Linked DNA regions of Cricetulus griseus. The protein of the gene in region 2 purifies or fractionates together with the protein of the main gene of each other region. This does not show direct contact. Links are inferred from orthologs where the notes say so. Each region holds a gene or a part of one and is shown on either strand. Other genes may lie near its edges.

What was found.
Region 1: the proteins of Hnrnpr (region 2) and Fus purify together in Homo sapiens (affinity purification with mass spectrometry; 4 studies listed by BioGRID and IntAct, with this or other methods). This does not show direct contact. The link is inferred for Cricetulus griseus from reciprocal best matches to the Homo sapiens genes HNRNPR and FUS.
Region 3: the proteins of Hnrnpr (region 2) and Dhx9 fractionate together in Homo sapiens (co-fractionation; 3 studies listed by BioGRID and IntAct, with this or other methods). This does not show direct contact. The link is inferred for Cricetulus griseus from reciprocal best matches to the Homo sapiens genes HNRNPR and DHX9.

What each region holds. Positions count from the first base shown.
Region 1 is NC_048596.1:72,807,115-72,810,864, reverse strand, and holds the start of Fus (RNA-binding protein FUS), read left to right. Parts: upstream 1-1,513; 5' UTR 1,514-1,625; coding exon 1,626-1,638; intron 1,639-3,556; coding exon 3,557-3,581; intron 3,582-3,711; coding exon 3,712-3,750. UniProt on the Homo sapiens protein: DNA/RNA-binding protein that plays a role in various cellular processes such as transcription regulation, RNA splicing, RNA transport, DNA repair and damage response. Binds to ssRNA containing the consensus sequence 5'-AGGUAA-3'.
Region 2 is NC_048595.1:16,986,780-16,990,429, reverse strand, and holds part of Hnrnpr (heterogeneous nuclear ribonucleoprotein R), read left to right. Parts: intron 1-280; exon of another isoform or gene 281-283; 5' UTR 284-295; coding exon 296-452; intron 453-2,653; coding exon 2,654-2,772; intron 2,773-3,460; coding exon 3,461-3,568; intron 3,569-3,650. UniProt on the Homo sapiens protein: Component of ribonucleosomes, which are complexes of at least 20 other different heterogeneous nuclear ribonucleoproteins (hnRNP). hnRNP play an important role in processing of precursor mRNA in the nucleus.
Region 3 is NC_048598.1:38,208,169-38,211,818, forward strand, and holds part of Dhx9 (ATP-dependent RNA helicase A), read left to right. Parts: intron 1-1,077; coding exon 1,078-1,230; intron 1,231-2,648; coding exon 2,649-2,809; intron 2,810-3,650. UniProt on the Homo sapiens protein: Multifunctional ATP-dependent nucleic acid helicase that unwinds DNA and RNA in a 3' to 5' direction and that plays important roles in many processes, such as DNA replication, transcriptional activation, post-transcriptional RNA regulation, mRNA translation and RNA-mediated gene silencing.

The DNA.
Region 1 (3,750 bases), on a different chromosome or scaffold from region 2:
CGAGACCAGCCTGGTCTACAAGAGCTAGTTCCAGGACAGCCTCCAAAGCCACAAAGAAACCCTGTCTTGAAAAACAAAAAACAAGAAACAAACAAAAAGTGGTATTGTGATAGCAGTATTCCCCCCCCCTCCCCAGGCAAGGTTTCTCAGTGGCTAGTCGCCATATGGGTGCTGGGAACTGAACTTGGGTCCTCTGGGAAGGCAGTCAGTGCTCTTTTTTTTTATTAAGATTTTATTTATTACATATACAACATTCTGCTTCCATGTATATCTACACACCAGAAGAGGACACCAGATCTTACAACGGATGGTTGTGAGCCACCATGTGGTTGCTGGGAATTGAACTCAGGACCTCTGGAAGAGCAGCCAGTGCTCTTAACCTCTGAGCCATCTCTCCAGCCCCCTTGAATTACATATTTGTCCTTTCCCTTACAAAAAGTACACAGGCTTTTAAATGCTCTAAATCATTTCATGTAGTCAAGAAGCATTTTGTAGTTTCATAGATTTAGATTTTAAACATCAGAAGGTCTGACCCTGAACTGCCTTACACTCAGGGCAAGTTCTTAGTCTTGGGTTTTGAATGCACTCATTAAAATCCCAACCCTACTCACAGGCACCTCTGCCTGGATCGGGCCTGGAGATGTACTCAGGGTCACGCACCGGCTAAGCAATCACTCTATCATTAAGCTACATCCCCAGACTTCATTTGCAGCAGACAGATACATTTATTTTCTTTACAAGATGATGATGGGGAAAACCAGGTCGACTGTTAATACTAGAATGCGTTGCTTTAAGGCAAAGAGGATCATGAATTCGAGGTCAGCTGGGCTGTGCTGAGAGGCAAAAAATAAAAAATAAAAAAGGTGGGAAATTGTGGGTTTCGAAACCACTTAAGCGGTAGACATGTTAGTGTTGAACCAGACTAGGCTATGGGATCCAGGCTAAAGCCCATATTCCTTCAGGTCAAACGTCACAATCTACAAACCTTGGTAAGGTCTAAGGAACAGCAAGCTGGGGCACCGCTAAGTGAAAACCGAGAAAAGGGACAGAGACTGATCATGCTTTCAGGAGAGAATGTGGAGAGCCAGAGCGACCACACTGCGTTTGGCTTAGTTGACCGGCCAGGGCAGGCGGAAGCACGCTCTAGCCAGTGAAAGTGGGGCCCAGCCGAGGGGCCCCGTCAGAGGAATTTCGGTTCCCACACCCGGGGACTCCAGGCCTCGACTACAGTTCTGCGTTCAAGCTCAGGGCCCTGGCACCGCCCATAGCGGGAGGCTGGATCGTACCATTATACCTTTGGAGGGGTAGGAGTGCGGCGAAGCCGGGCCCCGGGGGGAGGGCGGATGAGAGCTAATTATCCTCAAGATGACAGTGCATGCGAGGACATCATTTTCAAGTGAGTTCCCTTTTCTTTTGTCTCTCTGGGTCCTCTACTTCCTCGGGAAGGGGCAGGAACCCGGCCGCGCTCCCCCCTCGCGCCGTCCCACTTGGTACGTCCGCGGGGCGCGTAGGCGGGAGGCGTACTTAAAGTCGGCGCGGGAGGCGGGGCTGCTCAGTCCTCGCGGCGTCCCTTCGCAGTCGTCTGGAACCCTGTTGCTTGGCGGCCTGTGCGCGCGTGCGCGGACATGGCTTCAAACGGTATGTGAGGGCGCGAGGCGGCAATGGCGCGTCCCGGGGAGCCTTCGTTCCCTCCCAGCCAGACTTTTGAGTTTTCGGTGGGCCTGTGGTGGCGTGCGAGTGTGGGCTCCCGCACCTCTGTGGCGGGAAGCGGCGGGAGGAGGGCAGGGGAGGGTGGTGTCGCCATTTTGTTTGGCTCCTGTGGCGGCCTTTGGCGCGGAGTCTGAGGGCTCTCTGGGCCCTTCGACTCGGGGAGGGTGTGGAGAGGGACGCTGCCTGGCGACGTGGAGTGAGGGGAGAGGAAGCGCCAGGTCTCTCTAGCGGCGCCCCACCCCCTCCCTCCCGGCCTGCCGGGCCCCGCTTTGTCGCAGTGCTGCATCCGGGCACTTGGCGCGCGCACGCGCTCCTCTGGCCCCTCCCCCTTTCTCGGCGCGGTTTTTCCCCCTCGCCCGCCTCGAGTTGGTTTGGATTTTTTTTTTTTTTTTTTTTTTTTTTTTTTTGTCGCGAGACCCTCGGCGGAAGACTGCTGGTCCGGTGTTGGCCTCGCCCTGCTCCCCGGGTCCCTCGGGAGGGGGCGGGGCTGTCCTGTTCGCGCCTCCGGGCCGGAGCGAAAACGCTCCCAACTGGCCCGCGTGTCCGTGAGGTTGGGGAAAATGACGAACGGACTCAGGGATCCGGCCTGAGGGCTTTCCCGTTTCTGAATTTAGTTTTCCTGAGGCAGGAAGGAAACCAAAGGAGTCGCCTTCCGAGGCCACACCCTCTTGGCTGTCATTTTTTTTTTTTTTTTTTGCCTCCTGCGGGGGCAGACCCTGGGTTTCCTGCTCGAAGCCGAGCTACTGCTTACCGTCTTTGCTTCTCCATGCGCACGATAGGCGGGAGCACACTCGCTGGGAGCCACAGGTCTTGGAGCCTTGAGGCTACTTAGGGTCAAAGAGCTTTGCTGCCTTGTTTGGCTTTGTACTAAAACTCCCCTTTGCCTTAAGGTCTCCGAGGTTAGTCACAAGGTGAATGGATTTTTTTTTTAAAGGCATTTGTTTGGTGTTGGAGGGTCACAATTCTTCAGACTGCTTGGACTCGAACGGTGTGATAGCTCTGTGACTGTACAAGTTAATCTAATGGACTCCATGTGGTGTGTGTTGCAGGCCTTGGAAAGGCCGAGACGAAAATTTTTAAAGTTCAGGGACCGTCTGTGTTGTATTTTGAGACTTTTTGAAGAAAAAAATTGAACCGGGTGTGGGGGCACATACTGCTTTGATCCCAGGAATAGGGAGGCAGAGACGGGGATTTTTTGAGTCTGCATGGTGAGTTCCACATAGCTTGGTCCACATAGTGAGTTCGGGGGCAGTCAGAGGTATGTAATAGAAACTCCTGTCTCAAAAAAATCCAAAAACAAAAATTTTGACTATAAATACAGAAACAGTCCCATGGCAATGTTTTTAGATAATAGTTATCCACAGAAATATTTGTATGGTGCCTTGGACTGGTGTCACTGGTAGCTAGCTTAGCATGGCCCAGGCCCTGGCTTCTACCCAGAACAAAACAGAAATCTAAGACTTATTGGTGTCTAGGAATTTGTGTCTTTGCTTATTGTATTAAAACTTGTATTCAGTTTGCTTTCCTCACAACTGGTGTTTCATGAAGGACTTAATGCCTGCATGTTTTTGCAATGGCATTTTGTAGATTTAATGTGATCTGGAGTGCCTCGTACCTCTTTTTTTAAAGACAGGGTTTCTTTGTGTAGCCTTGGCTGTCCTGGAACTAGCTCTCCTGTATGTAGATCAGGCTGGCCTGGAACTCAGAAATCCACCTACCTCTGCTGGGATTAAGAGTTTGTCTCATCACCACTCTTCTTAGAGTGCCTAGTACTTAAGTTGAATTTAATTCTATTCCAGTCTTAACTAAAATTAACATGACTTTTTCCCCTTCTCATCTTTTACAGACTATACCCAACAAGCAACTCAAAGGTGAGTGTTGTTTCTGGGCTGGAGTTTGTAGGTGGTAAGGGTGGTCAGTGTAACTTGTGTTGTTTTTGTATGCTTTTTTTCTTTCAATTGAAGATAACTTTTCTGATCCTCTCCCCCTCCCCCCTCCTAGCTATGGGGCCTATCCTACCCAGCCTGGGCAGGGCTACTC
Region 2 (3,650 bases):
TGGCTGCTTTTGTTACTCAGCAATTGTACCTTCAGTAAATTCAAGCCCTTTAACCCAGAGTACATGAAGTTGCTTAAGGATCTAATGCTTCCATGTACATTTTCTATAGTTTCACAAGATTATTATTGAAAATTTAGGTCAGATGCTCACAAAAGGCATTAAATATTCTGGATAGTTGTTATTAGCAGCATGTGTACAAATTAGTTCAGATAAATCATGCATTGTCCTACAAACTAGTTATTTCTGGCTTAATGTAATATAGCTCCTGAATTTTTTCCAGCAGCAGCATAATAAAATGGCTAATCAGGTGAATGGTAATGCGGTACAGTTAAAAGAAGAGGAGGAACCCATGGACACTTCCAGTGTAACTCACACAGAGCACTACAAGACACTGATAGAGGCAGGCCTCCCACAGAAGGTGGCAGAGAGACTTGATGAAATATTTCAGACAGGTATAATATGCATTTCTTGTTTCTGACTGGTTATGAAAGTGAGGGCAAACCACGTTGAATTTTATAGATTTTTAAGGTTAAATAATGCTTACTGTTTCTGATCTGTGTAGAGCTGAATATACTTTCCCTTCATTGAGGGCATATTGGGTTTGTCTTGATATTCCTGTTTCATTATTTTGAAGCCTTCTTAGTGTTGAATATGCAGTCTTAGTTGTATCAGAACAGAACATCAATTTGTCTTAGATTTACTACCAATTAAAATGTATGTTTCAGCATACCAAATTTTACATTTTTCCTTAACCTAAATCAGTCATCATTTTGTTTTTTACTTTTCTACTTTTAGCTTTTTAAAAGTGAGTGTTAATTCAGCTTAGGTCTGATTAGGTGGCATAGTAAGAGGAATAGTTAGACTGTATTGTCTGAAATGATAACATATGTCAGACTCCTTGAGAGTTTGTGGCCTGTCTAGTTTCTAATAGACAGAAATAACACATCTCTCCGTAATTTGGAAGTGTTTGGTTTGTAACAGCTGTTTTTTGTTTTTGTTTTTTTTTTTCCTTAATGTGTAAGTCCCATGGTTAAGTGCTTACGAAAATTTGAACATCTTAATATGGTTGGTTGTAAGTGGTGAAGTTTTAAAGAGGGAGAGAAATATTTACCCTTAGGGAATGGTGTTCGTAAATAAATGTGTCCTCCTCTGGGGCCATAGATGGAAACTTTCTTCCTCTGTGTTTGTGTGCCTATCCAGATCAGGAGAGAGAGAGAGAATTGAACTGCTTCCTCTTAGAAATGTGTCTTAAGTACAGTAGACAAATAGCTGTGCTTTTTTTTCCCTTAAAATATTTTAAATCTCACAACTGAGATTTAATTTTAGATACTAAAATGGCTTATAAAAATGACTCCTGGGTGATGGTCCCATTTGAAAACCAGTTCTCAGGAACTTTCTGTGACATTCTATCTGCCCTAGAGAACTGGCAGAGATCTGCTTAGAGACGCTCCCTGTATAGTGTTTTGTTACTGCTAAGAGGCTGATGGTTTGGGTGTAGGGTTGGATTGACAGGATGGATTGATGATTGTCCTGAGTTGTGGCTTTGGGTGGTGGTATGAAATACTCAAGTATAAGGAAACTCCAGTCACTTAGCCATGCTCATTTTGAGCTTTTAAAACATGACATGGCAACTTTTTTTTTTTTTTAACAATAACTTTCCAAGTGGCATTATATTTATTTTCAGTTTATTTGCTGTATGAAATAAAGTTCTTTTTGGCTTTACCAAAATAGAATCACTTTTGGTGTTGGTTCATATGGAATTGGGGAGGGGACTGTTAATCTGTCAAATATTTCTGTTTTACATTGGTCCAATTCTGAAAAGATTCCTTATATAGTAAGTTATTTTAAACATAGATATTCTGTGTGTAGTTAGGTAGACTACATATGTAGAATGCAGCATATATATTCTGCATACTTTATTTAAAAATCTGTAACATTTTTACTGACATTTGAAAGAGATTGTCGTTATTGACAGTGTTGTGAATGCCACAGCATATTTTAAGTCTCAGCTTGTTACTTCAGAAGAGAAAAAGACTGACTTAAAATCTGAAATTCAGAGTTGATTTAGCAAGCTGCACTTGCATTTGTAGAATAATTTAAAATTATGCCCTTCCACATTCTGACTGCAGCAAAGTAGATGCTTGGATAAACACATTTTAATTTATTTTGGGTGCTAAGGAGGGAAAACCTTTGACACTTTTTGGAGTGGAAAGAATTAAGTAAAATTGCTTCTTATATTTTCTCCTACCTCTTCTATAGTAAACAATTGCAACAACCTGTAATTTGAATGTTTATCTTTATCAAATACAGGGTATTTCTTGCCACTCTAATATAAACCAGAATTTAAGTGAATGGTGCATCTTTAGTACAGTGTGTATATCAGACTTTCAGAACTTAACTGCTGTTTGGGGAGTTGGAAACATTTTAGGATCTTAAGTTTTTTTTAAAGTGAAAATTCATGTTTATAGTTGTTGACATTTTATCTTTGATTTTTGTATTTGTATTTGCTATATCTTATTTGTATAACTATGTATATGCATATAAGTAAATGAGAATGTAGTTTGTCAGAGGTAGTATTGAATGTAACAGCTCTTACTATGAGAGTTTAGCCTCTTAGTGCAATAATGTTAACCCTTTTCAATTTGGTTTTTAGGGTTGGTAGCTTATGTCGATCTTGATGAAAGAGCAATTGATGCTCTCAGGGAATTTAATGAAGAAGGAGCTCTGTCTGTGCTACAGCAGTTCAAGGAAAGTGACTTATCTCATGTTCAGGTAAGGTCAGTTCTAGCAAATGCCTCTGAGCAGTGATCTGCAGCTGTTGCACTATGATGGCATTCTTTTCCCTGTGGGGAACTGGTCTTTTTTGCTTGTGACTATCTCTCCTTTGAAAAACTGAAGGGAAAAAGATCTGGGTCAAAGAGTTTCAGAAGCATAAGCACAAAGCGAAAGTCTCCTCCACCTTTTATACAGTAAGTTTCTTCAAAAACTTAAAGCCATGGCTTGATTATTGTTATTGTTAAGGTTTTATATGCTTGAATTGCTTACATTAAAAATATTTTTGGGATCGGGCAGTGGTGGCACATGCCTTTAAGGATCTGAGTTCCAGGACAGTCTGGTTTACAAAGCTACACAGGAGAAACACTTGTCTCAGGAAAAAAAAAAAAGAAGAAAAGAAAGCTAATTTTTTGGTTATTCTATTTTAGTGTGAGAAATACTTTTAGACATCTTGGAAAAATAGTTCAGCTTCAATTAAATATTAACAAATAGAAGAACTTTTTTTTCCTTTCCCCAGTTTGGAAGGTAAGCTCCCTGAGGCACTGTCTGGCCCAACCTCTGGTCCATAGTGACTACTCATCAAACTATTTGTTGAATGAATGGAATGAATATTAAATTTAATTGTGTATTTGACCCTTCAAAGATTACTGGTAATTCTACCTTTTGAATTGCTTGCATGTTTTAGAACAAAAGTGCATTTTTATGTGGAGTTATGAAGACCTACAGGCAGAGAGAGAAACAGGGCAGCAAGGTGCAGGAGTCCACGAAAGGGCCCGATGAGGCGAAGATCAAGGTAAACATGACTGGTGGTTGAAGTATAGATGAGGAGCTCTAATTCCGACTCTTCCTGACAGGGGCATGTTTATTATCTTCTT
Region 3 (3,650 bases), on a different chromosome or scaffold from region 2:
GATACACCCTCAGTGGATGATGCTAAGAACATCACCTGTGCCTATTCGATATGTCCCCTCTTATTAAAATGGCCCTCCCCATCTCCCACTCTCTCTTTCTCCCCCACCTCTTTTTACTCTCTCCCACTGCAACAGTCCCTGAAGGTGAGTCTCTTCCTTCCCCTTTCCCCCTTTTACAATCCTTTTCCCCTAAAAAAAAAAAAACCCTTTCTCTTGGCATATTTCTCTCTGGAGCTCTGCTTTTAAATTACAATACCTGTTGTACTTTTATTTCTGAATACAAGTGTGTCATGTGGAATTTAATTTGCCAATAGCTATTTTACCCAACACTAACAGCATTTTTAGTCTCAGTCACATAGTCATGTGTACCAATTGTTACAAATTTGAAGAATTTTACGATTATTTGTGAATTCAAACACGCCATGTAATCATTTTTGTTTGGGGTCCAATTTGACTTCAGCTCCGCCCTCCCCTATACTCAATCCTTACACATGCCAGCTAGGTACCCTATTGTTGAAGTATAGTCACAACACTGTTAATGTTAAGAACGAGTTTTGGACTTTATTTTAAGCTTACTATCGTAGAGGACAGTGTTCTTTTTTTTTGTCAGGGTCTCACAGTTGTTCAGAAATGGCCTGGAATTCACTCTGTAGACGACACAAGCTTTTAGCATGTGATCCTCCTGGCTCAGCCTACCAAGTAGCTTGAAAGATAAGCCTGGACCACTAGACTTGGCTTATATTTGAACTTTTGGGGGTGTGGGGATTAAAGGTGTGCGCCACCAACGCCCAGCTACATTTGAGCATTATTAATGCACATGTGAAAGAGTCACTGTCCTCTAAGCACACCTTATTTTCTTCCTTATTTTCTGAGATAAGGTCTGTCACTGACTGAGCTTAGAACTCACTAGCTGACTTCTAGGATTCAGTTAATCTCACTTCCAGCATGTCATAATTTTGCTTAGTTCAAGTGGACAGATAATGTTATGTCTTTAAATGGATTGGGAGGTCAGAGAACATAATAAAATTGGTCGTTTATTACGTGTTCTGTCTCTGATAACTACTTTTTCCTATTCAGACAAAAAGTGAAACTCTTTACTGCTCACAACAATATGACCAACTATGCTACTGTATGGGCATCAAAAACAAACCTTGAGCAGAGGAAAGGACGAGCTGGCCGTGTACGACCTGGGTTCTGCTTTCATCTTTGTAGTCGAGCTCGTTTTGACAGGTAAAGTCTCTCTCTCATTTGGGATTGGCCTTATATAGAAGTAAGTGAACAACTTGGAGAAAATTCATTTGGGTTCTTGCTCATTGAGCTGCCTTGATAGTCCAGTGAGATATGTTTTTAAATAAAGATGGGCATTATTCTTAACCTTATATATATTAGCCAGCCTCCGCCCTTACCCTTTCCATTAACTCCATGCCTATGTGTCTTCAGTAAGGTATATTTAAGCTGGAATAATGGGATTATAGTGAGACTGAAAACAAATGAGAAGTTGCCAGTGTTGGTTTATTTAATAAAAGGATTTGTGGACATCAGTTACATTGCTTTTATCAGTTTTTTGCTTTTTTGTTGGTTGTGGGCCGGAGACAGGGTCTCACCCTGAAACTGGCTGGCCTTGAACTTAAAGATGTGCCTGCCTTTACTGTCTGAGTGCTGAGATTAAAGACCTTCTGGTAAAACCACTTACCAATTTTTGATGTTTTCAGTATTGAGTGAGGGTTCTTTCTCTAGTGTGGTAAGTCCTATTTCCTGGTATTTTGTTTTTTGGGTTTTTTTTTGTTTGTTTTGTAAACATTAGGGTTTTAGAGTTATAATCTCATGTGCAATCAGTTGTTTGAGGTTTTTTCAGAGCCCTGGCTCTCCTGGAACTCATTCATTAAACCTGGCTAAACTCAGAGATTCACCTCTCTTTGCCTCCCAATGTTGGGATTGAAGTTGTGTGCCACCACTGCCCAAATCCAATGAGTCTTCATCATGCCATTTTTTTATTAGAAACACTTTAAATTAGAAATGTGGACTTTCTAGTTTTTCGAGCTAGGGTTTCTTTAACATTTTTATTTCTCTATTTATGTATTTAGTATGCTCTTCTGTCTGCGTGTAGTCTGGCAAGCCAGAAGAGAGCATCAGAGTGCTAGGAATTGAACTCAGGAGCTATAGAGAGCAATCAATGCTCTTCACCTGGGTGTTTTTGGTTTTTTTGTTTTGGAGTTTTTTTGTTTGTTTTTATATTGAGTTTACTGTGTAACTTGTCAGATTGGTCTGGTGATGGAGTTACCATGAAATGCATGTAACATGTTTCCAAGACTAAGTTGTGTGGGTTTTTAGTTTAGTTGGTTTTCTTTTTGTTCAGGTCAAGGTTTCTCTGTGTAGCTTTGGAGCCTGGCCTGGAATTCACTGTGTAGTACAGGCTGGCTTGAACTCAGAGAGATCCACCTGACTCTGCCTCCTAAGTGCTGGATTAAAGGCGTTAGCCATCATTGCCCAGCCCAGGGCTAAGTATTTTGGTCGGCCCTGGGAGCCTTTGGGGGTAATATAGACAAAGGATTTGTATTATGTCACCTTTTGTTGCACTTGACACTATTTATGCTTGTCATTGTATGCATAGGTGAGGATTGTTCTCTTTCTGCTTCTCTAAATATTAGACTGGAAACCCACATGACACCAGAGATGTTTAGAACACCATTACATGAAATTGCTTTGAGTATAAAACTTCTGCGCCTGGGAGGAATTGGCCAATTCCTTGCAAAGGCGATTGAACCTCCACCTTTGGATGCTGTAATTGAAGCAGAGCATACTCTTAGAGGTAAGTGCTACCTTAGGCTATCTTTACCTGACAATTCTTATTTTACAAGTATGTCAGATGAAGATAGACTTGGTAGAGCCTTAACTAAAGGCTTCTTAGCTAGTGTCACAATTTTCATGAGCTTGAAGGATGAAGGAATGGAGTATACATACGAGTTTCATTTAGAAAACACAGAATGCTACGTCTCAGGAATCAGTGCACAGATTACTATTTTGAGACAGCGTTTCTCTGTGAAATAGTCCTAGATGTCCTGGTCACTCTGTAGACAAGGCTGGCCTAGATAGAGCTTAGATCTGCCTGTTTCCCAAGTGCTAGAGCATCAAAGGCGTGTGCCACCACCATCCAGCCATAGATTACTCTTAGACCTGTATTTAATATTATAGTGATGTCTTAGAGCTTTGATTTTTTTTTCTTTTTTTAATTAGATGTGTGGGTGCTCAATGCTGATGCTGTTACTGTATTTCTGGTTCCCATTTGCCTAGAACCTAGTTTTATAACAGTCCTTTTGTATTTCATATACCAATATTGAGGTTTTTTGTTGTTGTTGTTTTTTGTTTTTTTGTTTGTTTGTTTGTTTTTGCTTTTTTGAAACAGGGTTTCTCTGTGGCTTTGGAGGCTGTCCTGGTACTAGCTCTTGTAGACCAGGCTGGTCTCGACAGAGATCCACCTGCCTCAGCCTCCCGAGTGCTGGGATTAAAGGCGTATGCCACCAACGCCCAGCAAGTTGTTTGCTTTTAACTGAATTGCTTGCTCTAGGCATTTGACATTAATTTTGACTCTTGCTTTGACACTTGATGGAACATTAACATACTTAATGACATTATCACTCACAAATAAGTAT